Linked DNA regions of Nothobranchius furzeri. The main gene of each other region encodes a partner of the protein of the gene in region 7 in a complex. Links are inferred from orthologs where the notes say so. Each region holds a gene or a part of one and is shown on either strand. Other genes may lie near its edges. The genes, in order: cc2d2a, tmem231, tmem17, mks1, tmem107l, ahi1 and tmem216.

Region 1 (3,500 bases), on a different chromosome or scaffold from region 7:
CACAAACAGACATGCAGTTAAAAACAAATGCTGAGAGTTTTGTTGTGCAGCGAATGCTGGATAATGTTGTTATCTCTGCTGTCTCTCAGCCGCTGAAGTCCATGTACGGTTCATCAGACCCCACGGGGGACTACCAGATCGATGTCAATGTGTCGGGGCTGATCTTCTCCCATCACCCTCTCTTCAGCCGTGAACACGTGCTGGCAGCTCGTCTAGCTCACCTGTTCGACCAGTATCTCACCAGGAGGCAGAGTAATCTCTCAGGACACCTCACTGACAAGGTAGACTTCACCAGATACTGTGGAGAGGTTACCACGGCCGTACCACAATGCTTTGACACAGCTGAGTGTTTGTGTCCGCTTTAGTTGAATGGTTTAAGGAATGCTTTGAGGAATGTGGTGAAGGTCCACGGTGATCAGGACCTCCCTCAGGCCCTTCAGAGGAGGATTTTTGAGTACAGCCTTGAAGTGAGGTGAGGTGGCTCATTTATGGGCCACTCCCATCGGTACCGGGCCGACCCGGGACCGATGGGAGTGGCCCATTAGATCCTAATATGTCCAGAAACATGTTGGACAGAGTTGGCAGAGTTTCCCATGAACGTTCCAGGAATACTCGACACCTGAGAGATATGGAGCAGGAGAAGGACAGAACTCTGCTAAAGAACATCATCAAAGTGTGGAAGGAGATCAAAGCTCTGAGAGAATTTCAGACATTTACTAACACACCATACAAGCTCTACCTCAGAAGGTAAGCTCTCCTGTTCCAGCCAACCCTGACTGAAAACATCATTTAGAAATTTCCTTCAGTTTTCTATTATAAATCTTAACAGAATTATGTTAATTATACTTATTGCAGCAGTCTGAAAGGTTTTCTATTCATACCATAAATGTGCTGCTTTGTTTCTTGATGCTTCAGAGAGAACGTGGACCTGGCTGCAGATGAGCACATGTACGAGGAGGAAATCCTGACAGAAGCTTTGGAGATAGAGGCAGAGCATGAGGAGGACTACCAGAAGAAGCTGGCAGAGTACAAGAAACAGCAGGAGGAGTGGAAGCGCTGGAGGAAGAAGCAGGTGTCTGACTACTGCTGCTGGAACCATCACAAACACCGTGGAGTAAAATAAGGCCAGCCTTGTTCTTGTAGGATTGCATATTTATTTTTGCACATATTTTTATATCCCATGTTTTCAGAAAGCCAAAAAGAAGAAGAAAAAGAAGAAGAAACGAGGTCAGACACAGGATGATACAGACGAGGAAGATCAAGACCAGGAAGGGAGCGAATCAGAAGGACCCTTTGAGGAAGGTCCTCCTAAACCAGAACCCCCCGAGAGGCCGGACTTTGACTCCATAGAGCAATGGGTGAGAGAAAAAGCCTCGAGGATACGCAGGAAGCCAGGAGAGGTCATTCTGACCCCAGAGCTGTCTGCATCAGGAAGCATCACACCCAGTGAACTCTGTCCCAGGTAAACCGTATTCATCACAAACTGCAACACCCCTTTAACTGGCACGTTTCATGTATTTATGGAAATGTTAGTCGATGGCATGAGAAGACTGCTTATTGTAGTACTTTACATGCTTTTATCCTGTTTGTTATGCTCTCTCGTTTAAGGGCTGAGGTTGCTCGAAGAGAAGATGTTTCCAAGCGATCGCTTTTCATCAAAGTCCTGTACAATGACAAGGAAGTTTCCCGAACAGGCAGCTGCTCCCTGAGATCTGACTTCAGGGTGCAGTTCACCCAGCTGTTCCACCTCAAGATCCTTAACTGTCCCCAGAGCATGAATCTGCAGGTGGAGTAGAGGAACTCTGAATGCACCGCAAGGTTGTTACTGCTGCAGCTGCAGTCTGTTTCTCATCAGTTCTGTGTGTGTGTGTGTGTGTGTGTGTGTGTGTGTGTGTGTGTGTGTGTGTGTGTGTGCGTGTGTGTGTGTGTGTGTGTGTGTGTGTGTGTGTGTGTGCGTGTGTGTGTGTGTGTGTCTGCGTGTGTGTGTGTGTGTGTGTGTGTGTGTGTGTGTCTGCGTGTGTGTGTGTGTGCGTGTGTGTGTGTGTGTGTGTGTGTGTGTGTGTGTGTGTGTGTGTGTGTGTGTGTGTCTGCGTGTGTGTGTGTGTGTGTGTGTGTGTGTGTGTGTGTGTGTGTGTGTGTGTGTGTGTGTGTGTGTGTGTGTGTGTGTGTGCGTGTGTGTGTTGTGTGCAGGTGTTTGAGCAGATTGGATCATCCTCCTCCCTCCTGGCTCAGGTGTTTGTTCCGGTACCAGAACCCTCAGTGGTTACAGGCAGCGCTCCTGTGGAGACGTTTGAGTTTAGCAGCAACCAAAGAGTCATGTTTGATCATGAAGGAGTAGGAAGTGGTAAATACTGTTGTTCATTTCTGCTTCACTCGCATATGTACAGTGCCGTGTAACATTCCTGTTCCCAACAAGTGTTCCTGTTAAGATTTACTAACAGGATCATTTTCAGTCAACTATGGTGTGCAGTGTCCTTAAAGTTCTCGTTCACTGAGAAACTATAATACTTGTTTTTGGAAACAGTCTGTCATGCTGAGTTTCACATGCAAGCTGATCATGAAAATAGTTTCTACCCCTATTTCCTGCATTACTCTGCCGATAGAAAACAGACTGTGTGGTAAAGCCGTACAGATCTACGTCACAGGGGAAAACTGCCTCGCCCTTCTTGGCTTGCCACCACCCACAGAAAAGCTGTATTGATTTAGCATCCAGGAGAGAGCAGAGCACATGTCAGCTAGTAGAAGCTAATCATTAGCATCTTCACAACGTGGCAGAACCTCTTCAGGCTTGTGTTGTTTGTGGAGAGAAATCATCATTTGTTACCCAAGTAAGAAGAAGGATTGAAGGCAGCAGAAGAGTCAAGTTACTGTTAGCCAATCAGAGGCAAGATGTTGGCATATCATGAATATTAATGAGTAAGTCTCCAAATCCTGCTGCGCCACCCACCCACACACACACACAGCTTCTACACTAAACAGCATACAACATTTTAATCCATACTGTAGGCCTCGGCAGATTTATAGAACAAATGATTGAATGAGAACTTTCAAAAATGAAGGCAGAGTCTGAAAGATCTTAAAACTTGCAGATTTATAGTTTAGGACTGTCAGAAATGATTGAACTAAGCAGTAGTTCAAGTCTCTTAAAGCGAGGTTTTGTTGAAATGTTACGATCGATCGACGTCTTACTTGTAGCTATGAACAGCTTCAGTTAGGAGTAACAGAGATTGGTTTTGACTAAACATTTACAAACGTTCCTAAAACTTCACAGCAGTTTATGCAGATGCTATTTTATAACCTTTACCATGCCATCATTTTTCACATTTGAAGTATTTTCTGGCTGAAATGTCATAAATTCAAGCCAGGAAGAAACTGGTCTCCTTAGTTTTAGAGTCACCGCTGAGTTTGATGTGAATAGCTGTTTAATATAAAATATATGGTGATGTAAATGTTTATGAAATAGCACTTACATGAGCTGCTAGTGTTTTAGATTAGTGTTG
Region 2 (3,110 bases), on a different chromosome or scaffold from region 7:
TTCATACATTCTCCTGCAATGCCCTGGTCCTGTAGAATGAGCCCTGGCATTTTTACTGTGATTGCCTGTTTTTATGTAAAATCACAGAAAAAGAGAGATGCTCGGGTCGAGCAGGCTGCTTCATGCGCGTTCACGCTCAGGCATCGCCCGTAGCGTTTGCTATCCGTAGCTTTAGCAGCAGAGAGAGAGGCAGTGCCACTTTGTCGCTGTTCCTAACGCCTAGTGACAAAGCTAGCTACATTTCTGAGGACCCTTAGCTACTTTCTGTAGAACTTTCTTCTAGATATTTCCTGCTAATTAGCAACAAAATAGCCATTTTCACTCCGAACCGTTCTTTGAACGTTGTTTCAGCTGTCATCAAGGATATAAATGTTAGACAGTCTGAATGTTACTAGAGTGTAGCTCACCTTGTAAGATATCTGACTCTCGTGCAGAAGACCTGGGTTTGATTCTGGATGTGAACATAGTTTATTTAGAGTTTATTTTTTACATTAATGGTATATTTTTTACAGTAAGATGCCCAAATTTTTATTTGAGACTCGCTGAACGGCATTGAATTCACAGATAAAAAAGATGTGGGTTCAACTTTCATTTTGGAACAATTTTTCAAGCAAGGGAAGGGAATGATCTGAGCATGCAGGAGGACTGACCCGTCATAAACCTTTGTCGGCTGTGCTGAAGAGAAAGGTACAGAACCAAATTATTTAATTAATTATCTGTGTGTTCTTTTGTCCTCCGGGCCACACACACACACCTACACACACACACACGGGACTGTCTCAGCTGTTATTTTCGTTAAGGAGTGTGCACGTACAGCGTGCACGCCTCGTGTACGAGCCTACTACTGAAGCTGCTGTTATGCTTTTGGCCTGAGGGGGCAATCGCAGGCATTAAAATTCAAAAGTCCGAAAAGTCCCTTTAAATTATTGTTGTTTAATTTAATAGTCAGAGCATTTCTATTTCTCTGGTTTCTGCTAGCGGATGTCGACAGTGGTGATGCAGAGTCTGGCTTATGTGCAGCACTCCTCACCTGTACCTGGAGTTAAACTGTTCATCAGTGGAGACCTGAGGCTTCAGCAGAGGACACCGCTTCCTCATCGGGGCCTGTACAACATCTACAATGTGAGAATAGTGTTTATTCCTTATTTATATTAATTTATCCATCCATTGTCTATACCCGCTTGTCCATGCGGGGTCGTGGGGGGGCTGGTGCCTATCTCCAGCAGTCTCTGGGCAAGTAGGCGGGGTACACCCTGGACAGGTTTCCAGTCCATCACAGGACAAACAACCATGCACACACACCTGCGGGCAGTTTAGAAAACCAATCAGCGTGACAGTCGTGTTTTTAGACTGTGGGAGGAAGCCAGAGTACGCAGAGACACCACACATGCACAGGGAGAACATGCAAGCTCCATGCAGAAAGACCTCAGGTTGGGATTTGAACCCAGGACCTGCTGCAAGGCAACAGCGCTAGCCACTGCTCCACTGTGCAGCCCTATGTTAAATTAATATGTTAAAGTATTATTTTTTGTGTTTACTGACCTAAAGGTGTCAGTGATCGATGGCACCAGCCCCTTTGCAAGTTCCTATGACCTCAGCAACATTATCAGGAGCTACCAGGAGAGAAACGGTAAGTAAGCAGAGGGATTTATTCTCTGCCGACGCCCACGGTCTCGGGTTTTGTATAATGAAGTATTTATAATTTTATAATTGTCTTTTCTTTTTTATTTAGTAACAACTGTGCTGTCTTGTCCAATGCCAGTGTGGACTATAGGACATGCTGCTGGTTCACCTTTTGAGCTTAACGCTGAAATCCGCTACCCGCTGGAGCTCATCAGATATCCTTTCATATCTAAAAGATCACCAAAAGGTGTTGTCTTGTGACTGATTTACCTTTTCGTCTTTAGGAGACGGATTACATAAACCATGACTCAGAGTTATAATTCTTCTAACGTTTTCTTAACTGCCTCCCTCCACTTATCGTCCTGGCTTCTGGGAAACCATCAAGTTTGCTTGGATCCAGTATGTCAGCGTTCTCCTCATCTTCTTGTGGGTCTTCAAACGCATCCAGAGATTTGTCTTTCAGAACCAGGTTGTAACAACCGTACCCATACCTGTAGGAAAACCTCACCTGTCGTGATGCAGAGCTGAAAGTTTATCTTTTAGGTTTTGACCAGATGACACCTTTTGTCAATTTGCTTCATGTCTGTAATGTTTGTTCTTTGGACTTCTCGTTGTTGATTCAGCTATATGTTATTGTCTAATCTGTTTATTCTGTAGGCTTAAGCATTCTAAAAGATGTTGTTATAAGATCATATACATCCTGATCTGCATCGGGGAACAAACTGTTCTTCTTTGTCACATTAAAACAACTTACACATCGTAGATATTACAAATCCTATGTTAAATTACGTGAGTTTCAACAGTTTAGTAACTTTTTTCATCTTATGTAGATTTTTCAACTTTTTTCTTATTTTTAAATCATTAAAAAAATTTTGTTTGATTTTAGCGGCTCAGTTGTAAAGAACATAAGGATATATTTTCTATATTGTTGTTTTTTTTTACACATTTGAAACTGGTTTTGACAAAAATAAAGACTTTTTAAACTTATTATAGCTTTACTGGGTATTTATTAAACAACGTGTGAAAGGAATGAGTCGTTTGGAACTATCATGAGTAAAATAGGAGTTCTCGTATTAAAGCTGTTAAAGCACAACTTCTTTCCTAGGATTAGTTTTTAATCACGTGTTTGTGCTTGATGAAAAAGATTCAGTGGTCAAATAATGTAAAAACTAATTTTCACAGACAAAACTTCAAACATGTAAGCAGGCTTATCCCTATAGTGAACACAGTGGTGGCAGCATTATGGTGTGGGGGTTGTTAAGAAGCAGAATGAAAGAGACTGTTGAGAACTGAGGCCTAAGTAAATGCAGCCAAATCCTATAATCCTCTGCCTCTCCTAAAATAAAATAAATCTGTGAAGATGACAGCTCTGGTTTTCATTTTGAGAGTGTTGTGGATTCTTAAAAAATTCATGCAGCAGACTAAAGACTTGATTCAGCTAATTTCCGTTCTCTACTTTGTCTTCTGGAATCCTGACACATTCTGTT
Region 3 (3,544 bases), on a different chromosome or scaffold from region 7:
TCTTCATCAGCTTTGAACACATGTAGCTGGACAGAGAATCAGCTGCCTCTCTTGTTGCAGCCATCCTAGTTTCTGCTAGAGCGGGAGTGGCTTCACACACAATCAGTAATTTTCATTTTCTCTTAAAGCAAAAAAACAACAACTATGAAACAGGTTTTTTCCTCCTCCTGGTGTTATTTGCCTGACTTGTATAACTAAAAAAAACTTACTGAGCATGGTTCCCATAAGTATGGAAGCCCATTCCTGCCACTCTGATTAAAAAAATGTATCTCATAATTATGACTTACCTATCTCATAATAACAAGACACAATCTCATTATTTAGGGATAGCGTCTCATAATTATGAGATACTATCTATTCATTTCAGCCCCACATCTCATCACGTAGGGTGGAAATTAATCATTAAATGGTATGAATGGTTTGATTAATTAAATTTCATGAACTATTTTTTACTGATTCAAGACTTTGTTAACCCTCCCACTGTCTTTATGGGTGACCCCGCGAGGAAAGTTGACCATAAAGCAGGATTGATGGTTTATCCCTTGAGGTCCACGTGGCAGGGGTGAGGTGGTGCTCACTCCTCACCCCTGCCACGTGGACCCAAGGGATAAACCATCAACCCTGCTCAATGGTCAACTTTCCTCGTGGGGTCACACCCATTAGGACAGTGGGAGGGTTTAAATATGTGCACCAAATTTTACTGGTGCAGAGAGGGAGGGAACTAGACAACACCTATTGAATACATACTATTTTTACATACACATTTTTTGCAGAAAGCCACAATTTTGTTTCACTTAAAACATTGTCAAAGAGAATCAACAGAGGGTTCGATAGAATGTTCGAATACTAAAATGTTCGATAGCTGCAACCCTAGTATCACTATAATGAGATAGCTAGTAAAAATTATGATGCTGTCTCATAGTAACTAATTATTCTGAGACATAAAGCCATATCAAATGCTATCTCATAATAATGAAATGAGATATTTTTTAATGAGTAGCGTTAATCAGCTTCCATAAATATTATTTGAGCTACACATTATACTCTCCCCCCTATCTAGTCTCGCTTTTTAAATTTTTATTATCAATGTAGTTAAAATCTGGGAAGTTTTGAAAACGCAAAAGGAGACACGTTTTGCTTCTGGCCTTTCACTTTCTCTCACCCCCACTACCATCAATGGTTACCATGGAAACGACGGTGGCTTTCACGACGGAGCTAGTAGGAAAAAGCGGAAGTGTTTCTCCTCTGGTCATGTTGTTTTTAGCCTGATTTTCTTTGCAATGGAGCTGCCGGAGACAGTTAGGAGGCGCTTAGAAGATTTTTCTCGGAATGTTTTATTCGACCAGACTCGTAATGAGCCGTTCTCAAAACACAACGACTCGTTTATACCTCACGGTAAAAAAAAAAAACAAAAACACAAGCTAACTATGAAGTCGAGTTAGCATGGATGTTAGCATGGATGTGTGTAGCCTTGTTACTTTACCATACCGATTTTAGTTAGTTCCCCTCATTTTTTTTGTATGTGTTTAGACAAACGGGTTCTGTCCAGCCTCCAGCTCCAGATGTCTTTGTACTTTAACACGTGGTTCTTCCCGTTCTGGTGGATCAGTGAAGCTGTGATGCTTCACCTCAAGGTACGAGGTTGGTGGATGGAAGCCGCGAGCAGAAAACCCAGAAAGAAAGAAAAATCCCAAATATCTAAGCTAGATTTAGGATACTTTGGTGCTTAAGTATGGATATGTATTAAACTATAGCAATTCATTTTAGAATCAGATTTTTCATGTATGTTTTGAAGCTTCCAACACAACAAGAATGCTGATGGTAGTTGTTCTTGCAGTATCCTGCCCTTCCAAATTACTACAAGTTTGTCCTTGTGACTGTTCTTCTACTGATGACTCTGATTGAGGCCATCAGACTTTATCTTGGTTACTCTGGAAACCTGCAAGAAAAGGTGAGACCATCTCAGATGACATGATACAGGTGCTGAATGCAGGGTGGGGTTTGAATGTAATTTCTGATCTGTGGAAGGTTCCAGAGTTGGCCGGCTTTTGGCTGCTGAGCATCCTGCTGCAGTTTCCACTCATTCTTTTTCAACTTTTTAATGAAGCCATAATCATACTGCCCTTGGAGAGAGGTGTCCACATAGTTCTTGCCATATTTATCCTCACACAGGTATGACTGGATTCTCAGCTCCATTTTACGTGGCAAATGCACCTAAATACACATGTTATTGTGTTTTCTCAAATTTGAGATCAAGTAATTGTGACTGATTGTAATCTGTTTTTTTTTTGTTTTCTGATTGATCCAGGCTGTCTTTGGTTTTGTGGCCCTGCGGGAAATGGTTAGACACACAGGAAGCCAGTTTCATCTCCAACAGTTTGACTGACGTCCACATATGTTCTGGTGTTCCATTTGATCAGGATTTATTCTTACTTCATACCTCCCAGTCTCAAATGACAAAAACTATGTATTTGCATATAGGATTTGGTACACTTTCTTCACACAATTTTAAATTTAATGCTAAAAAATAATAGAAAATATTTATTTTTGTATTTTGTTCCACTTGTATCATTGCTTTTGTAAATTTGAAGTAAATCATGTTTACTTGACTCACTCTGTACTGTTAGTTAGCATCTGGTTTAGATTTGTTGACCATTTAGTTATTTTTTAATTACAAAAGAAATTTTTGTACAAAGTTACCGACATTTACGCTGCTCTTTGTTCAGGAGCTTTTTGCTTCAGAGGGACTGAAACGTTCTGACCAAAACAGAAAGTTTCAACAAAATTCATGAAACACCCAAGTGCTTTATTTTATTTTATATTTTTTACAACATTTATTTTCATGTACTGAAAATATTATTTGAGAAATCATGAGATTGCATTAGAATAATCAGAAGAATTAAAGCATGTTATTGTCACAAGACGAAGAGATAAGTGAGATTTGGTATAAAACGTATGTGTTTTTCTGTTAGATCTTCCCAATGAAGCATCATTGTCACAAAAATAACTTGTTCTATTAAAATGCAGCTGAACTTTGAGAAGAATCCTGGCACCCGTTTCACTGCTTTGTCTTGATTAGGTTTGTGTTTGATGTGGAGGACGCCTGAAGACAAGATCTGTTTCTAAAACGATGCCGACTGCTGGTATTGGTGGAGGTGAAACTCGTCAGCGGCTGGTTTTTTGGAACAACAGCTGGAGCCATGCTGGTAGACAAAGATGGGGGACATCTGCCATGAAAGCAACACAGCATACAAAAATTATGAACACACAACACACCCTTTTGTAATAAACTATAATCTATCCATGAAGTTTACCTGCCAGGTGCTGCAAAAGGAGATGTCAGCCCTGAAAGAAGAAGGTGGTTCGCATTAGGCAAAAACCGATGGAGACTTTAAGCTGCTGTTCAAGAAACAAACCTCTGCAGACTTGAGAGTGGGAAAGAGATTGGCGCAGAGGGAAACGCTGGTGCTGCGCAGAGGGAATGAAAGTTGGAGGAAGTGGAAGGAGAGCACTCAGGTGTAGTAGCTGAGAGGAGCATTTCCAC
Region 4 (3,631 bases), on a different chromosome or scaffold from region 7:
TGGTACGACCCGACCGGGTTTGAACCCCGATGTCCAAGGGCGGACCCTCTACCACTAGGCCTCTGAGCTGGTAACTGATTAAAGTGCATTAGATGAACCAGTGGGAACGTTTGTTTCTTTGCAAACATTTTTCGCTAACCAGATGTTTGTTGTCCAGCCCGCTGTTGGTACGCTACGTTACCTGATGGATGGAGAGATCGGTGAGGAGGACGGCTGTGATCGCTATCTTTTTAGATTACCCATCAACTTTCAAACTACCACTCTCTCTTTTCCCTCTTTTTCTCTTTAGTCTCGGCTAAAGGATTTGAGTATGATAACTTACACGTCCACTTCGTCCTGGATCTTCCCAATAGTGAGTAACAAGCCGTCTGTGATACTCATTTGTGATATTTAGTTTTAGTGAGATCTTAGTAAACTTTTTTGTTTTAGATTGGTCCAGCTCAATGCCCCAGTTTCTGTCAGGGGTTACCCAGACTTGTCGAACCAAATCACTGGGGAAGGTGTGTGTTTGACGTAAGAAACTGGTTACTTGCTTCAGAACATGAACACTGACACACGTTGATCTCTGCCAACAGGAAAATGTGGCTTTCTTCAGTTACCCCTTCAACTTTGAGATTTTTTACAAGAGTGAGAAAGAGAGTGAAGGTCAGCGTGAGCCTTTTCATTTTGAAATGATGTGATTTAAAAGTCTAAATTTAAGTGTTTTCACTTTTTTTAATTTCAGAGCTAATTCCCCAGTGGCCAGTGCTTTACTTCAAAGTTCTTTCTCTTGACCTGTGGGGGCGCTATCGTATTGAAGGCTATGGTTATCTGCTTTTTCCAGCTATTCCTGGTATGCTGCTGCATCTATAAGACTCATTGACTAATTTACTTCTTTATTATTTAGATGATTTTAGATTCACATTACTGTTATTTTTAATTGTCTTTAAAAGTGTTATTTTATTTTAGTCCAGGGATGTCCACCCTTGTTCCTCAAGAAACCCTACCTAGCACGTTTTAGTTGTTTCCCTGCTCCAAAGTACCAGATTAAATGGTTTGATCAGCCTTCTAATCCCCTGCTGATTGAAATCAGTAGTGCTGAAGCAGGGAAACCTCTAAAACATGTAGGACGATGGCCCTCCAAGACCAGGATTCGACACCCCTGACTGAGTTTTATCTACTGAACATTCAAAAACAAAATTTAAAGATATTCAGATAATTCACCAAAGATTGTACTACAAATGAATTCATACCAACAATTTCAAATATGCAAGATTTTTAACTTCACATGGTTCAGAAAAGTTAATAATAATTCCTCTGCATGCTCCATCATTCATCTCCATCATATATTCTGTTTCTGGTGCATCCCAGGTAAGCACACCATGACCTGTCACACATGGCGACCTCTTCAGATGGGGACGGTCTCTGCATTGAGGCGCTTTTTTATCGGAGGTTCTGCAGAGATTGAAGATCACAGCTATGTCAGAATACCAGGGACCTTCAAGGTGCACTCACAGCTAAGCTAATTCCAGGTTTTGAACCTTTGCATAAATTTTCTCCTGAAGGTTTAATGGGTGAAACATGATGTTTTAAAAATATACATTGTGGTAGTTGTAGCATTATTTCGTTATCACCAAGTTAACTGTGTATACCTGAGCAAGCAAGTAAATTAATGCATTATTATGATTCTTAATCTGGTACAATGGTGTCTGGTTTCAGGGAGACAGGCTGAGTCGCTTGGGCTTCTGCAGTCTAACCTCAGGAAGTGTCACATTTAATCTGAACTGCATCCAACAAGCCAGGTAAAGACCAGTTTAATCAACAAGCAGCTGTTTCTGATTTTCTCCCTGACAGCTTAACAGTTTATATGGAATGAATAAAACATCAGAAGTGAGATTTACTCTCTGCACTGCATGCAAAACACTATTTCTTAATGCAAATGCAAGTGTTCCATTTACAAATTTCACAAAGATCTGTATTATTAATGCAAATTGTTTCATCTTTACTTTTAAAAAGTGTTTACTGTTCGCTTCTGGTTGTTTCAGGGCCTTTGTTGACGCTGCCATTCAGAAAAAGAGGAGGCAGAAAGTCATCGACCAGCTGGGAGGATTTAGTCAGCAGGGAGATGTTTGCAATGTTCTGGGTAAACATACTCACACAGTATTTGCATCAGGGTTTAAAAGACTTTCACTTCCTGTTTGCTGCTGAGTGTATCCTTGTTTGTGTGAGCTGTGAGTTCTGTGTGTGTGGTTAAGTGAAAAAGTTTACTGTAATCAGGCTCTGAATGTTCCACCATTTATTATTTTTACCATGAAATGATTTTATGATAGCGGGAGTGAAAATTAGCATAATGCCACCAGTTAGCCTCTGTCAGCGAGCGTCAGGGCAGCTGTGGCTACATCGTAGCTCATCACCATCAGTGTGTAAATGTGTGTGTGAATGGATGAATGATACACTGTAGTGTACAGCGCTTTGGAGTCCTTACTCTGAGAGGCGCTATACAATTATGGGTCATTTATCATTTAGATTCTCGTTATTTCAAACCACTGGAAGATGGATTTGTTAGGACACTCACAAAATGTTATGGACTGTATACCAAGCCTTGCATTGCAGCTTGATTGCCCAAAGTAGACAAAAATGTAGAAAGAACAGGGAATTTTTCTGCAGGGTTAATTTAATTTGTATTTTCTGTTTGTTTGTTTTATTTCCCTTCAGAGGCCTTTCAAAGAGCATACAAAAAGCTACAAGAGGCCAGAGAAACGTTCCCACAAAAAGCCATCAACTCTACTTCCCAACTCGAGCTGGAATTTTCTGCATAAAAACCAAAAACACACTAAAACTGACATTTCAAGATGCATTTAGGATCCTGCACAAGCTTCCAAAACTGAAAAGTTTGTCTCAAGTCATCTTCTGTTCTTCTCAGACTGTAACTGACATTTTATTGACAAATGTTATTAACTTAAAAAATCATCAGAAACGATTTATTACACCAACATTAGGAGATGGAGCATAACACTTGTCTAATAAATGTACTATAATACCAGCAGTTTTTTTTTACAAAATTCAAGGTACTGTTTTCTTTTATTATTTATTTTACTGTTTATTTTTCTTATCTGAAATAAAGGTTAACTAAATAAAAATTAAATATGCAATGAAGTGGTATATTTTCCCCATTTTTAAAACAAAACAAATGGACTGAAACCCGCATTATCTGACTGCGGGTTGTCCTCCAACGTAGCATTCGTTTTAGCTCCAAAGGGAAGTAGTCCAATTTTCCATGACTGTAAACGCACCATTCTCCATCTTCCTCCAACCAGGGAAAGGACCGTTCAGCGATTTTCCCTCTCAGTTTCACACACGACCAGGTACTTAAGTACACATATTTCACGTTAATTTTGCAATCGTGTAATTTTTTGATGTGTAAATTGTGTGTCTTAGTCAATGTATGGCTGCTTTAGCGTATCTCTAGTAGGCATGTAGCGATGGGAACTGGGCCGCTGGTCGCTTTTCTCTTTTTTGTGTCAGATTTAGCCTAATGCTCAAACGAAAACTGAAATCGGTTTTCTGAAACTAAAACCCTGGTGGTTATTTAGATTCACTGTTTGGGGCTGTTTACTGCGGAATGAGTGTTGATGCTTTTTTTCGTACATAG
Region 5 (4,170 bases), on a different chromosome or scaffold from region 7:
GGTGTTTATCTGAAGCCTCTTATGTTCGGCCTTGTCAAGTGAACAGAGTAACTGTGTAAAGTTAGAATAACCAGAAAGAAAATATGTAACGAAGTTAGCTCACATTTTCTCTCAAATGTTTAACAAACAATAAAAATGTTAAATTCACGAAAAAAAGCATGATGAAAATCAGTTTCCGTGGACGTGGTGGCTCTTTTCCATCACTGCAGCTAGAGGGCGCAGCATCCCGTTTCTATGACAACCAGCATCATCTCTGTCTTTTCGTGTGCACGGCCCAACGCCTCTCGTGCTATTTTCTAACATATTTAAATTAGTCCAACAGTAAAAAAATCAAACGCATCAACTTCAGCTTCCACGTTTTAAATGTTGTTTTGTTGTTATTTACACAGTGCCAGAGCTTTACTGTGACGCTGATATCATGTCTCCAAACGGAATTAGCACGCTCCATCATCACAGCTGGACACATCTGTATGCAGATGGCTTCATATCTGAAACATGGGGGGAAATCCGCTAAAACATCCAGACTGAAACTGCACAAATGGCTGAAGTGACTAATAAAGCCAGCGTCATACTCACGTTGATGCGAACCAGCGCGTCCATGATAGAAGTAAAGGTTTGGAACTCCGACTCGGCCATGATGCTTTCTCGATTTAAGCGACTCAAAAGGATCTCCTGGAGAAAACCCCGGCTGGTTGTCTTCTTCTCCTGGCCGCGAGGCAAAGCCCGGGCCTTGGCTGGTGCCGCTCCGCTGCTCACGCACGCTGGATCGGTTCAGTCTGCCTCGGGGGAAGAGTCCACTGGTGGGATGGGGGTGGGAAATCTCTGGCTCAGACCATCTAACAGAAACACATTCGTTTCTTATTGCGCTGTTTTGTTTTACAGGCACGTTTATCCTGCCAATTCCAATTAAACATGCGGTTGTTGTTTGTCTTTTTAAAAATAAAACCGTTTTATCCAACAGCGAACGGATCTGGTGGCCCTTTCTATTTCTTTCATTTTGTCTTGTTTTTTTTTTCGGGGAACCTGAATTTTCGGGTAGTTTTAAGCATTTTTATGATAAAAATGAAAAGACATCAGGTGTTACCATCAGATCGCAGTATTGATGAATAAAAAAAGCAAATAAATAAACAAATAAATAATAAATAAATAAATAAATAAATATCCAGCTACACGTCAAGCTACACCTCTTTTACTAACTCTGACCAGGAAAAATGAAACGCGCTGACTACCCACCGTTACTAAATAAGATGTTTGGGTTTCTCTGTTTTATATTATTTACTGCTGATTAAAAACTCTTTTACGTGACGCGTTCATGGTCAACGCGGAACCGTTTAGGTGTTCGTTTTTTTGTCCGGTCATTAAAACCGTATGCACATTGTCCGTGGTTGTTGTAGCAACCGTTAGTTGCGTCACAACGTGAAGTTTTTGGCTCTGTTAACGAACGAGACACAAAACTAAGCTATAGACTTCGCGAGTTTTTAAACAAACAAATGAATCAGCTGGTTTATGTCATTAGCCGCAAGATAAACAGATGCTAAAGTGTTCGTTTAAAGTTAGCACATTTAGCTACATGCTAGCCTAGCTTACTGAGTGGTTTCCGTCGCAGTAAACAAAAACCTTTTACTCTTTTTTTTACTCACGAGCTTTTAGAGTTTTACTTTGCTGATTAGGATCACCATGTCGGCCATCAGCAGCCTTGTTCCTGCTCGGTTTCTCACCATCACAGCTCATCTTGTCATTGTTATCACCATCTTTTGGTCAAGGGTAAGAAAAAAATGGTTTATCTTTAATCTGATTTCTTGTGCCTGATTTTATTTTCATAATGGAGAAAACTTTATGGGATTTTAGATCTGTGGTTTTATTAGACGTTGCTGTTATATGAAATACCACAAAGGTGAACACACAAACACATTGTTAGAAATTCTGCTTAAACATCAAAGGTAATTAAAACATATTCCTTGTTGTGTTATAAAACGTCATTTAAGTTCCAGGAAGTGTCCTCATTGACCCCTAACCAGCATGTTCTGGTTGTTTCCCTGCCCAAACACACCTGATTCAATGGTTGAGTCACCTGTTTAGCATGATTAGGTCTGCAGAAGCTGTTAATCACCTCTAGGGTTGTCACGGTGTGAAAATTTAACCTCACGGTTATTGTGACCAAAATTATCACGGTTTTCGGTATTATCGTGGTATTGTTTTAAACGTGTTACATTTTCAGGAAACTAAATAAACCCTGTATATCAGGAAAATATTGTCCTCAGTTTGTGTCTAAATTTTGCCTAAAATGTGTTATTTTGTAATTATGTTGTTTATTTGTTTACATATTTCCCCTTAAGTCTTTAAAATACCAATATTTGCCCATAACTTTTCTTATTTTATGTCTGTTTGATGTCATCATTTTAAAAATATTAGACCAGATGATACTCAGTACTCAAGTAGCCTTCTAATCAGATACTTTTTACCCTTACTTGAGTAATAAACCCTATATCAGGAAAATATTGTCCTCGGTTTGTGTCCTTCCAGTGAGCTTTGCAGATGTGGGAAAATGGCATCAGGCAGTAATCGTTGTTAAATTCATAATTATTCTCGGAGAGAGACCAACTCTTATCTGCCCCTGGGAGCCCCGTAATGCATAGCGTCATTTCAACATGGCGGTGTCCGCGACACGGTTTATATGCAGGTAGCGGCGCTGCGGCTGCTTTATATAGCGACTCGTTGCGTTCTCCCTCAACCCAAATCCTCGGATCACGCATTTTAGCTAAAGCGCTAACGTTAGCTTGCCTTGCGTTGACTGTAGAGTTGTGGGTGATGGTCACGCAGATGTGTCATGAGATTTGAAGCGTTGCTGCCTTTCACAGACACTTTTTCTGCTCGTGCTGCAAACAGGATAGCCGTCTTCTATCAGCTTTCCCTCGGCATTCTTCTGGTATAAAAAAATGCCCGTACTTCTGACTTTGTCTTCTTAGAGCGATAATAAATGTCCTGAGTGCTGCCGTCTCCTCCTTTGTCCGTTATTTCAGCTTTAGCTTCAAGAAAGTTTTGGTTGTAAACAACAAAGTGCGCATGTGCCGCCGGCAACTTCAGCAGATGATACGGTGGCTGGTAAGGGTCACCGCGCCTACACCGCAGCCACGGTAATCCACCGAGATAATATAGTTTTTAAAAAAACAAGACGGTTATTATTATTGTCAACTTTTTTACCGGGGTTTACCGCTACACCGGTTACCGTGACAACCCTAATCACCTCTTGGTTAAAAACAGCAGAGCAGAGAAACCACTGAAACATGCTGGATAGGGGCCCTCGAGGTGCAGGGATGGACACCACTGCTCTACGGTCAACATCACATCCAGATTATTCAGCCCTTGAAATAATTTGCAATTGTTTTTCTTTTTATAGGAAAATAATGTAAAAGCATGTTTACCACTGGATTTCACACCAGAGCAGTATGATACCGAAGACAAAAAGTGAGTAGATATGTATGTAACACACTCGTATTATCAGGTTCTCGGATTAAATGATCTCTTTTGTTCCCTCCAGGCTGGTGGTGGCGCTGGCAGTCACACTTGGTCTGTTTGTAATCGAGCTGGCTGGCTTCTTTTCAGGAGTGTCTATGTTCAACAGCACTCAGGGTCTCCTGTGTATCCTTTACTCATCCTTAATGAAATATATATATATATATATATATATATATATATATATATATATATATATATATATATACATATATGACCTTTAATATTCAACAGTAAAGCGACTTCTGGTTAAGGCTGTAACACAAAGAACACGCAGCAGCAGCAGCTAGTGGATAACTAGCTTAGCTCTCTCCCACTTGGTCGGTTCTCTCTAAAAGACAAACGGAATAGCTGAATAAAACCCAAATTACTATAAAATAAAGGTTTGTTATAGGTTAAAGAGTAAGGATGAGTGAATTTGTTATTAAAAAGCTAGTCACTCCCAAATTAACTTTTTTTTTTGCTGATTAACTATATAAATGAGTGTCAATAGTTTTGCTAAGAAATACACACACACACACAGGCTCACAACGACACTGTGACATCATATGGTACCAGCTAACGTTCTAGGGTACCTCTTAGCCAATAGCGATGGCAGATTTAAATTCAAATGCAGTGCAGAGTTTTTACCTGACAACGGCACGACACTGACAGTTT
Region 6 (4,116 bases), on a different chromosome or scaffold from region 7:
CTAGTCCTCCAGCTCGCTGTTAGCCAGCACCGATGAAATGTGTCCATCTGCAGAAGAAGAAAGCACAAATCTCCTGTCTCATAGATCTAGTCTAAAAATCCTCAGAAAACTAACATAAAGCACAAACCAGTCCCGGACCGGATTATGTTCACTAGTACAAACTGCTCCTTCTTTTTGATACTTGGACGATCTATGATTGAATTACTCAAAGACTTTGGGTCATGTGAAAATGCTCATGCATCTAAATAGGAACTTTGGAAAATGAAAACAGAGATTTTAATGGAACATTTCTGCAGCTTTTCCTTTCATTTAAACAAAAATCCTTTTGCAGCTAATCTGGGCAGATCTCAGATCAGGGGTACCCAAAGTGCGGCCCTTAATGATTTTGTACATGGCTGTTACAGAAAATATATGGAGAATAAACTTAAAATGGAAAATAAATTAATAAACCCACGATTCTGATGGGTTTCACAAGGAAAACTCATGAGACGCCTTTAAAGTTTTATTGATCATTTTTTGCATAAATCTGAAATATTTTGGTATTTTCATTAATACGTTTTTATTTTTATTTTGAGCTAATCATCAAATAAGTGTGTTACTATTTGAATCCTATTTCATATTTCATATTTCAATCTCAGGTGTGTTCCTTAAGCAGGTACATTGAAGGTTTCTCTGAAAACTTCATTTACTTTTTGTTCAACATCTCCCCAAAATCTCTTCAAACGATCAAAAAGTCCTCTGAGCAACCTGGAGCAGCTCTCATAAAAGCCGTGATTCTTCACATGAAATGTTCTGACACTTGTGTCTGCTTCACCTGCAGGACTCACCTGTAAAGTCACAAGACTGTTATGTAATGCATAATTATAGTTTGTGTTAGGAATGTATATATAACTGTTCAGACACTTTACACATTTGTGCAAGTATCAAATAGAAAATCTATAGCTCAAGACAACTTGAATACTCTGACATGATAATTTTCTTAATTCATCCTTCACTGAAGTTACAAAGCTCGAAAAGTAAACCATGAATGTATGTGTTCTCCAACTTTTATCTTAATTAAAAATATAGCATTTTACGGGTAGAAACGTATAAGTAAATTTAATCCTGACTAATTTGTGGGAGAAAGAAGTGAGCCACACTGTTTGCTTTGAGCTCTTGCAATAAGTTAGGAAAATCCAAGTTTATGTTCGTCTTTGAACGCAGCATTTGGGGGGAGCTACACTCATTACGTGCTATAGCGTTCTCGTGTCCTTAAATTTCATTGGTTACATTTTTGTTTGTTTATCTACGTCGCTCCGCCCGTACGTTGTTGACTTGGAAACCATCACGGCGTTGTGCGGTAGAGGACAGTTTAAGCGTAACCCGCGTTCAAACAAGGAGTTTCAAGTAGAAAGCTCACATTAACTTATTAAAAACAATTATATGGTTATATTTTGGTTCAATAATGTATTTCAATAACAAAGATATAACTTTTTTAGGCGTAGTACGTGACCAGAGCAATTTAGCTAGCAACTAGCTAACTAGCTTCTGGTGAAATAGCTAACAAATATTATTAATAAAACATCTCGTGTGTCTCCGTTAAGCGGACACGTTCTAGTATCATTAAGTGAAACTTAATGCTCACTTTAGAGTCGCGAATGTGAGCTGCGACATTTTGCTTTGTATTTTAGATACGCTTTTTTCTGGATTATTGGCGTTTTTCCCTCAGAATGAGAAACAGCACGATGTTTGAAAATGCCAGGTGAGTGTTCAGCTGTCCTGAAGCGACTAAAGAACAATTTTTGTGAATAAATCAATTAAAAAATATATAGAAATTATTTAATAACTAGTAAACCAGTCAAATATCTTTCAGTGACCACCCAATCCAGAGATTAAAGTTTTACACTAAATAAAAAATATATATTAAGTGTTATTGTTAAATTAATATTAAAATCCTTTTAATTTATTACATTCTCTCAGATTATTTGATGTTGTTTTGTATTTTCATGGAAGTCAAACAAAACCAAAGCTGGCAGTAGCTCAGGAGGTAGGGCAGGTTGTCCAGCATCCAGAAGGTTGCAGGTTTGATCCCAGCTCCCGCCAGAGAATTGTGTCGTTGGGCAAGACACTTAACCCATCTTGTGGTGGTCGGAGAGACCGGTGGCGCCCGTGTTCAGCAGTCCCCCTTCTGTCAGTGCGCCCCAAGGCAACTGTGGCTACATTGTTGCTCATCATCACCAGCATGTGTATGTGTGTGTGTGAATGACTGATTGTGTTGTGGTGCGCCTTGGGGGGTTGTTGAACCCTAAGAAGGTGCCGTACTATTACAGGCCACTACCATATGTAATCAGTGTTTTTTTACAACCACTTACAAATTCAGCAAATGATTCTAAAGTGTTTATCTCAAGCAACTTTTGTAATCAAGAATTGTATAGATAACAAAAAATAAACATTTCCAGGTGTGAGTGAAGAGACCCGGGAAAGATTTAATGAAGTCTTCAAAAAATATTCAGGATCTGAGAAGAAAAAGTCAAAGAAGAAAATCCATGAAGCAAACGAGACCATAGTGGTAGGTGTTCTGACATGTGCTGTTTTCCACCCAGTGGTTGTCATCAAATGTTCTACATTCTGGCTGCAGTGTTGTATTCAAACTTGAGTTATTTATGAAATATAATTATAGAAAGCATCTGCAACAGAAGAATGTTCTATTTTCTTTAATGTGAACCAGTTCTAGCAATTTAAAATATTAATAAATCACATGTATTATTATTGTCGATCTCTTTTTTCAAAGCTTCAGAATCTGACCAGGAAGCTGAACCTTGAGAAAGACACAGAAGATGACGAAACCATTCTGCAAAACACATATGACCCTGAACAGGGCAGCCCTCGTTATTCCAAAAACAAACGAAGAGAAAAGGAAACAGCAGAACAGGTTAACTGTAACAACAGCAAGGATGAAGAAGTTAAAGCATCAAAAGCCAAAAGGAAGAGTAAGAGGGACCTCCCTTCTTTACCTGTACCCAAAGACATTCCAGAGGACTTACAGGAGGGGGCAAATGCTTCTAGAGCCGACAATACTTTGAATCCAGAAGCTGCTGTTGGTGAAAAGAAACGAAAAGGAAAAAGTAAGAAGGGAAAAGTCAGAGAAAATGTAGAAGATGTTGCAGAGAGTCCGGTGGAGGATCCAGAAGATAAACTACTGCATGAATACCAGCAGCAGATGGCACAGGAAGAGGAGCTGACTGTGAAGAAAACAAGGGTCAAACGGGAAACTGTTAACTCACAAAGTGCTGTGTTGAATAATGATATGGGGAAGAAGAAAAAGAAAAAGCTGAAATCTGTAACAACTGAGTCAGATGTAGGGTGTGTATTTCTCTCTAATTTTAGCTTTATTGTAGTTTTTGATATCAAGAATAAAGTTTAAGCAGCATTTTGACTTTTTTTTTCTTTAATCAGGGATCAAGATGAGGAAGTCAATCCAGATGCTGATGAGGAAAATAAAACTGAATCAAAGGGAAAGAAGAAAAAGAAGAAGAAGCACGGTAGTTTTTTAAAACAAAGTAATTTGTGTAACATAAAAAGAGATTTTGATGAGTTATTTTTCTCAACTTTTTAGTTGTCAAAGAAGAAAGTGAAGCTGAAGCAGCAGAGGAGCAAAAGCCGACATTTGATGACGGTCTTGTTCTGGGAGTGTTCGTTCATAAAACGGATCGCCTGAAGACGGACTTACTGATCTCGCACCCCATGGTGAAGATCCACGTTGTTGATGAGATCACGGGCAATTATGTGAAGAAAAGGGACTGGTGAGAAGAAGTTATCTCTGATCTTATGCTGCTACACCTATCAGCGTTAAAATATTTGGGCTACAGTTTAAAAAAATGTTTTCATGCTCAAACATTTAATTAAAAGTGAAATCTGTTTGTGTTTTGAAGCCATCGACCTGTGTCTTCCTATTATGAGGGACAGAACGTCGACCATATCCTCCCTATCATGACTCAGCCTTTTGACTTCAAGAAGAACAAATCCATCATCCCCGAGTGGCAAGAGCTAATCATATTCAACGAACGCTTTGGCTACTTTGTTGAGCAAAAGGATGAAAGCCCCAGAGTCATCCTCTTCTTTGAAGTGAGATATACT
Region 7 (4,048 bases):
ACAATTAAACATTTTCTCCTGCAATCTTTGGGTGATAAATGATAGACTGAATGAATTTGAATTTATAAAGAAAACCAATAGGCTACTTCAGATGAAAAATAGAATAACCCAATTTTGTTTTGTTTTAGCTCTTTATTTGATGAATAATAGATTCATTTGTGGGAAAAATAATAAAGCTTGATTTGATATTTTATTAACGTAACTATATATTCTACAGAAAACACAAAAAACAAAACAGGTTTAGACCATCGACATACACATTAGACCCGTTTTTAATCCACGGGTGCACGTGAAAGACTGTAGAAACTCGATAGATCCAAAAGGGGGCAGTAGTGCAGCCCTTATGATGAAGAGGACCGAAAAAGAAAAACCAGCGCGACCGGAAGCACACAGACATGTAAAATGTAGAAGCTGCACTGAAATCCTCAGACTGCATAATGCATTTATGGCGTGAAATATAGTTTTCCTTTTTTGATTCATTACAAGCCTAAACGTTTTACGATTACAATAGTGTCGGAATAAACAGACAATATATATTTAAAAAAAACATACAACTGGTGAATAATTTTGAGCTAATGAGTTTGGTTTCTTTTAGTTTTAAAAACAATACATTCTTATTGATTTGGTTTAACTAGCACAAAATTATCTTAAGCTCAGTATACTGAAACGATCGATTACCCTGGTGATTGTATTACATTTTATGAGTAACAAACAACAAAAAAAGGCCTAAATAAAAAATAGCCTAAATTTTCTAAATTACTTGATTATTAATCACGAACAATTTTTATATGAAATAAAAATATTTTGATGAACACAAAACAGAGGTAAAGCCCAGTTTCAGTTAGACACCAATTAAACAAAATTAGTTTTCGTCACGTTTCTAACTAAAGATTGAAATGAATCGGGATTTGTCTTAATCCTGCTGTTAGTGTCTGTAGTGCAGTGCAGGCAGCTGATGGAGACTGTTCAGGGTCATCCTGACCAAATGAAGACGGGTGATGATCTGAATACATCTTAAAAAATAGAAAACATGAAGGCGAGTCACTTCTGAGATGCGCCTAAAATGTTCTGCACTGCGACCGGTGTGGATGGATTAAATTTTAAACAGAGATGTTCCGTACCACTGATGCTTCGAGTATGGATTGGGATTAGAGTAGTAAAAGATCTGCTGGCTTTTAGCTGTAAGCCGTTCCAAAAAGCCTGAGTCTGCTTCGCCCGTCTCCCTCTCCAATATGGCGGCTTCGAAATTACATAAAAGAAAGCAGCGTGTATGTGTTCTAAGTCTATGGTATCCATAGCAACCAGAAATCAAGACATGGCGCCTGGTGAGTTTCATGCAGTTGTTTGTTCCTTATAAACCGAATAAAAGTCCGCCGTCTGAATCTGTCGCGATGTTTATTTGGACCCAAATGAAAAGGGAAATGTAACGTTTTCGTTTCCGTTTGGAGGAAAAGCTAAAGAAAACGGCAGCCGAGGTTTATCTTGTCTGTGAACTGAAGCTAAGCGTCTGCTCGAACTGCGATGACCTAAAAATCAACACATTACTTATCAGCGAACACGTTACTGCGTATTACTCCTAAAAGCTACGCAGTAACAAATAATCTTTTTATTGTGGAAAACACGTATTTCGTGCTTTTTTACGTAAACAAAAATATTATTTTATAGATGCAAGATCCAGATGAGTGATTTTCTCTCTATATAAATAGCATTTAGAGCTAGTTACATCATTTAGCCCTACTGTTTTTCTTTTACTATTTTATCCATCAGTAGTAAGTCAGTAATTTTACTGATGCTGATTTTGAGCCTACAGCATACTAATTGCAGATGTTAATGAGAGCTTGGTTCTGTCTCTTCTGCAGGAAGCCAGCCTGTTGTATCCTTATATAACTGGCAGCTCATGTTTTACCTGCTGCTGTTATCCTTGACCGTCTCTCGTACAGCTCTCATCCACTCCTCTGCAGGTGCTCCTGTACCTGAACAGCTGGTACTTTGCTGCCTTCTACCTGGCAGAGATCCTCATGTTCATTTATAAAGGTCTGTGACATATTTACCAAATTTCCCACTTTCACAACAGCAGAAACTATAAACTCAGGAGGAACCATGATTAATCACATCTCAACTGTGCCTTCATCTGCTTTAGTTTTCAAATAAATCCTCAGTGTTCATGAGATAACACCTGGCAACCAAACAGCTCCTTGATGAAACCTTCTCTGTGGAAACCAAAAAGAGATGTGGTCCATTTTGTCTGTGCAGGAATCTTGTTGCCGTACCCATCAGACAATCTGGTTCTGGACGTGGTTCTGCTCCTTCTCTTCCTCGGTTTGGAGACTCTGAGGATCTTTTATGGTAAAGAACAGAAACAGCAAACATGAGTATTTAGAAATCAGTGTTTACTAGTTCTGTGAGCATGTATACGTCACCTCCTCCGGGTGACCACATACTTCCACAGTCACTATAGAGGCAGAGAATGGGTCTAGGGGTCTCATTTATCAGACATTGCGTAGATTCCTTAATAAAACCGTACTTAAGCTCAGCAAAAAAAAAGTACTTACGCCAAGCAGGTTTGTGATCTATCAAACATGGAGGACGCACAGCTGCACGCAATCTCCGCTTCATAAATCGGAGACTAACGAGAATGTTTCTCAGCTGCTTTTTAGTCACATCCCGCCCTCACCACAGCCACTTACTGCCATAAATAGCCAATGCAAAGTGCCTTGTGGATCTCATGCATATACATAAGCTGGCTTGTTGCAGCATTTCGATCACGACCGCAGATCAAGGAAGCGCTATTTCACAAGCAGAAATTCAGGTACTTGTGGGTGAGGTGGAGAAATGAAAGGAAGTGCTTTTGCAAAACAAGAGAAATTCCACGGAGTGGCACAATGTTGCTGAAGCCATCAATGTTTTGAATTCTTCAGAGAGATCTGTGGCGGATATAAAAAACTTTGTCCAATCAGGATTCGATCCCCAGACTCCCAGGTGAAAGTCACGCACGCTAACCAGCCACCCAAACAGAAATCTCCCCTGTACAAGTAGCCAGGGCGCATGATCAATCGGGTCACGGTGACAGGACGCTCACACTGTCTTGATCTGTCCCCCTGCTGATATTCTGCATTCCGTATTCTGCGCTTTAGGCTGTGTGTGTGTGCGCGCGTGTGTGTGTGCATGTGGGGGTCTTGTCTGTGTGAAAACGAAGCAGTACAAGTGATAATGCTGCAGGATTTCATAATTTTATCCTTCTCGGCAGCACTGCAGGTGCTCTCCATGTCCAACATGTGTGTAAGCAAGGTCCTTAGTCAACTTAAAGTTGCGCACATTTTCCTGCTAAGTTTTCTTTCATAAATCCCAAAGTTTGCGTGGAAAGTTCCTTACGCAGTTTTCCGACCCCGTGTTGTGTGTAAGCAAGCTTGATAAATGAGGCCCCAGGTCTATTTGTTTGATGCGCTGTCAGCTTCTCATGAACCCACAGAGAGATGGGATGCATTTCTCCATTTATTATAGCTTTTTACTGTTACAGGTGGCTTTAACTTAATTTGGGTCAAATCCCTAAACATAACGTGACCATGTAAACAAAGTAAGACGAACTGAATTGTAATGGTCAACAATAACTACGGCTACCCATCCCTCCTCTGTAAAACCACCAGGCGACAGACTGACAGCTCCTTTTGATTGCGACCACCTGCACCCATGTGGCCCCTGTTGCGTCACCATGACAACAAAAAGAGGAATAAAACAGAAACCCAGTGATCAACTCTCCCAACACATGTATTTAATTATGGCTCTACAGCACATGTAAGGACTTGTTTTTAAATCCCTGTGAAAATCCTGCACCAGACTGTCTTTGATAAATAACTGAACACAATCATTAAAACTGAAGCTGAACAGTTATATTAGTTATAACATAGAAGTCAGTGTCTCAGTTTGTGTGAACGTGTGTGTCTGAACACGTCATCCAGCAGGAGCTACTGAGAAGAACTCGTGAAGTGAAATGTTTACTGTAAACTCTTTAAACCTCTGATACAAGACTAAGCAGCCAAACCAGCTCTGA

What was found.
Region 1: tmem216 (region 7) and cc2d2a share a complex: the UniProt entries of both Homo sapiens proteins name them as parts of the tectonic-like complex. The link is inferred for Nothobranchius furzeri from reciprocal best matches to the Homo sapiens genes TMEM216 and CC2D2A.
Region 2: tmem216 (region 7) and tmem231 share a complex: the UniProt entries of both Homo sapiens proteins name them as parts of the tectonic-like complex. The link is inferred for Nothobranchius furzeri from reciprocal best matches to the Homo sapiens genes TMEM216 and TMEM231.
Region 3: tmem216 (region 7) and tmem17 share a complex: the UniProt entries of both Homo sapiens proteins name them as parts of the tectonic-like complex. The link is inferred for Nothobranchius furzeri from reciprocal best matches to the Homo sapiens genes TMEM216 and TMEM17.
Region 4: tmem216 (region 7) and mks1 share a complex: the UniProt entries of both Homo sapiens proteins name them as parts of the tectonic-like complex. The link is inferred for Nothobranchius furzeri from reciprocal best matches to the Homo sapiens genes TMEM216 and MKS1.
Region 5: tmem216 (region 7) and tmem107l share a complex: the UniProt entries of both Homo sapiens proteins name them as parts of the tectonic-like complex. The link is inferred for Nothobranchius furzeri from reciprocal best matches to the Homo sapiens genes TMEM216 and TMEM107.
Region 6: tmem216 (region 7) and ahi1 share a complex: the UniProt entries of both Homo sapiens proteins name them as parts of the tectonic-like complex. The link is inferred for Nothobranchius furzeri from reciprocal best matches to the Homo sapiens genes TMEM216 and AHI1.

Annotation. Positions count from the first base shown.
Region 1 is NC_091748.1:39,034,630-39,038,129, forward strand, and holds part of cc2d2a (coiled-coil and C2 domain-containing protein 2A), read left to right. Parts: intron 1-89; coding exon 90-281; intron 282-365; coding exon 366-472; intron 473-606; coding exon 607-747; intron 748-915; coding exon 916-1,072; intron 1,073-1,190; coding exon 1,191-1,462; intron 1,463-1,608; coding exon 1,609-1,786; intron 1,787-2,190; coding exon 2,191-2,344; intron 2,345-3,500. UniProt on the Homo sapiens protein: Component of the tectonic-like complex, a complex localized at the transition zone of primary cilia and acting as a barrier that prevents diffusion of transmembrane proteins between the cilia and plasma membranes.
Region 2 is NC_091744.1:86,205,128-86,208,237, forward strand, and holds the end of tmem231 (transmembrane protein 231), read left to right. Parts: intron 1-978; coding exon 979-1,122; intron 1,123-1,548; coding exon 1,549-1,630; intron 1,631-1,732; coding exon 1,733-1,838; intron 1,839-1,977; coding exon 1,978-2,140; 3' UTR 2,141-2,610; downstream 2,611-3,110. UniProt on the Homo sapiens protein: Transmembrane component of the tectonic-like complex, a complex localized at the transition zone of primary cilia and acting as a barrier that prevents diffusion of transmembrane proteins between the cilia and plasma membranes.
Region 3 is NC_091744.1:77,713,092-77,716,635, forward strand, and holds tmem17 (transmembrane protein 17B), read left to right. Parts: upstream 1-1,197; 5' UTR 1,198-1,280; coding exon 1,281-1,395; intron 1,396-1,530; coding exon 1,531-1,634; intron 1,635-1,837; coding exon 1,838-1,951; intron 1,952-2,028; coding exon 2,029-2,172; intron 2,173-2,308; coding exon 2,309-2,386; 3' UTR 2,387-3,044; downstream 3,045-3,544. Other genes in the region: agbl2 (cytosolic carboxypeptidase 2), read right to left, coding at 3,059-3,227, 3,315-3,345, 3,417-3,544. UniProt on the Homo sapiens protein: Transmembrane component of the tectonic-like complex, a complex localized at the transition zone of primary cilia and acting as a barrier that prevents diffusion of transmembrane proteins between the cilia and plasma membranes.
Region 4 is NC_091750.1:66,889,933-66,893,563, forward strand, and holds the end of mks1 (tectonic-like complex member MKS1), read left to right. Parts: intron 1-157; coding exon 158-200; intron 201-289; coding exon 290-352; intron 353-429; coding exon 430-500; intron 501-575; coding exon 576-645; intron 646-724; coding exon 725-832; intron 833-1,350; coding exon 1,351-1,484; intron 1,485-1,698; coding exon 1,699-1,781; intron 1,782-2,024; coding exon 2,025-2,122; intron 2,123-2,694; coding exon 2,695-2,798; 3' UTR 2,799-3,131; downstream 3,132-3,631. UniProt on the Homo sapiens protein: Component of the tectonic-like complex, a complex localized at the transition zone of primary cilia and acting as a barrier that prevents diffusion of transmembrane proteins between the cilia and plasma membranes.
Region 5 is NC_091745.1:78,310,947-78,315,116, reverse strand, and holds the start of tmem107l (transmembrane protein 107), read left to right. Parts: upstream 1-1,370; 5' UTR 1,371-1,677; coding exon 1,678-1,764; intron 1,765-3,397; coding exon 3,398-3,465; intron 3,466-3,538; coding exon 3,539-3,639; intron 3,640-4,170. UniProt on the Homo sapiens protein: Plays a role in cilia formation and embryonic patterning. Requires for normal Sonic hedgehog (Shh) signaling in the neural tube and acts in combination with GLI2 and GLI3 to pattern ventral and intermediate neuronal cell types.
Region 6 is NC_091758.1:20,120,883-20,124,998, forward strand, and holds the start of ahi1 (jouberin), read left to right. Parts: upstream 1-1,316; 5' UTR 1,317-1,734; coding exon 1,735-1,741; intron 1,742-2,438; coding exon 2,439-2,548; intron 2,549-2,770; coding exon 2,771-3,342; intron 3,343-3,435; coding exon 3,436-3,521; intron 3,522-3,595; coding exon 3,596-3,782; intron 3,783-3,911; coding exon 3,912-4,104; intron 4,105-4,116. UniProt on the Homo sapiens protein: Involved in vesicle trafficking and required for ciliogenesis, formation of primary non-motile cilium, and recruitment of RAB8A to the basal body of primary cilium.
Region 7 is NC_091741.1:65,725,063-65,729,110, forward strand, and holds the start of tmem216 (transmembrane protein 216), read left to right. Parts: upstream 1-1,248; 5' UTR 1,249-1,270; coding exon 1,271-1,325; intron 1,326-1,859; coding exon 1,860-1,873; intron 1,874-1,940; coding exon 1,941-2,034; intron 2,035-2,253; coding exon 2,254-2,346; intron 2,347-4,048. UniProt on the Homo sapiens protein: Part of the tectonic-like complex which is required for tissue-specific ciliogenesis and may regulate ciliary membrane composition.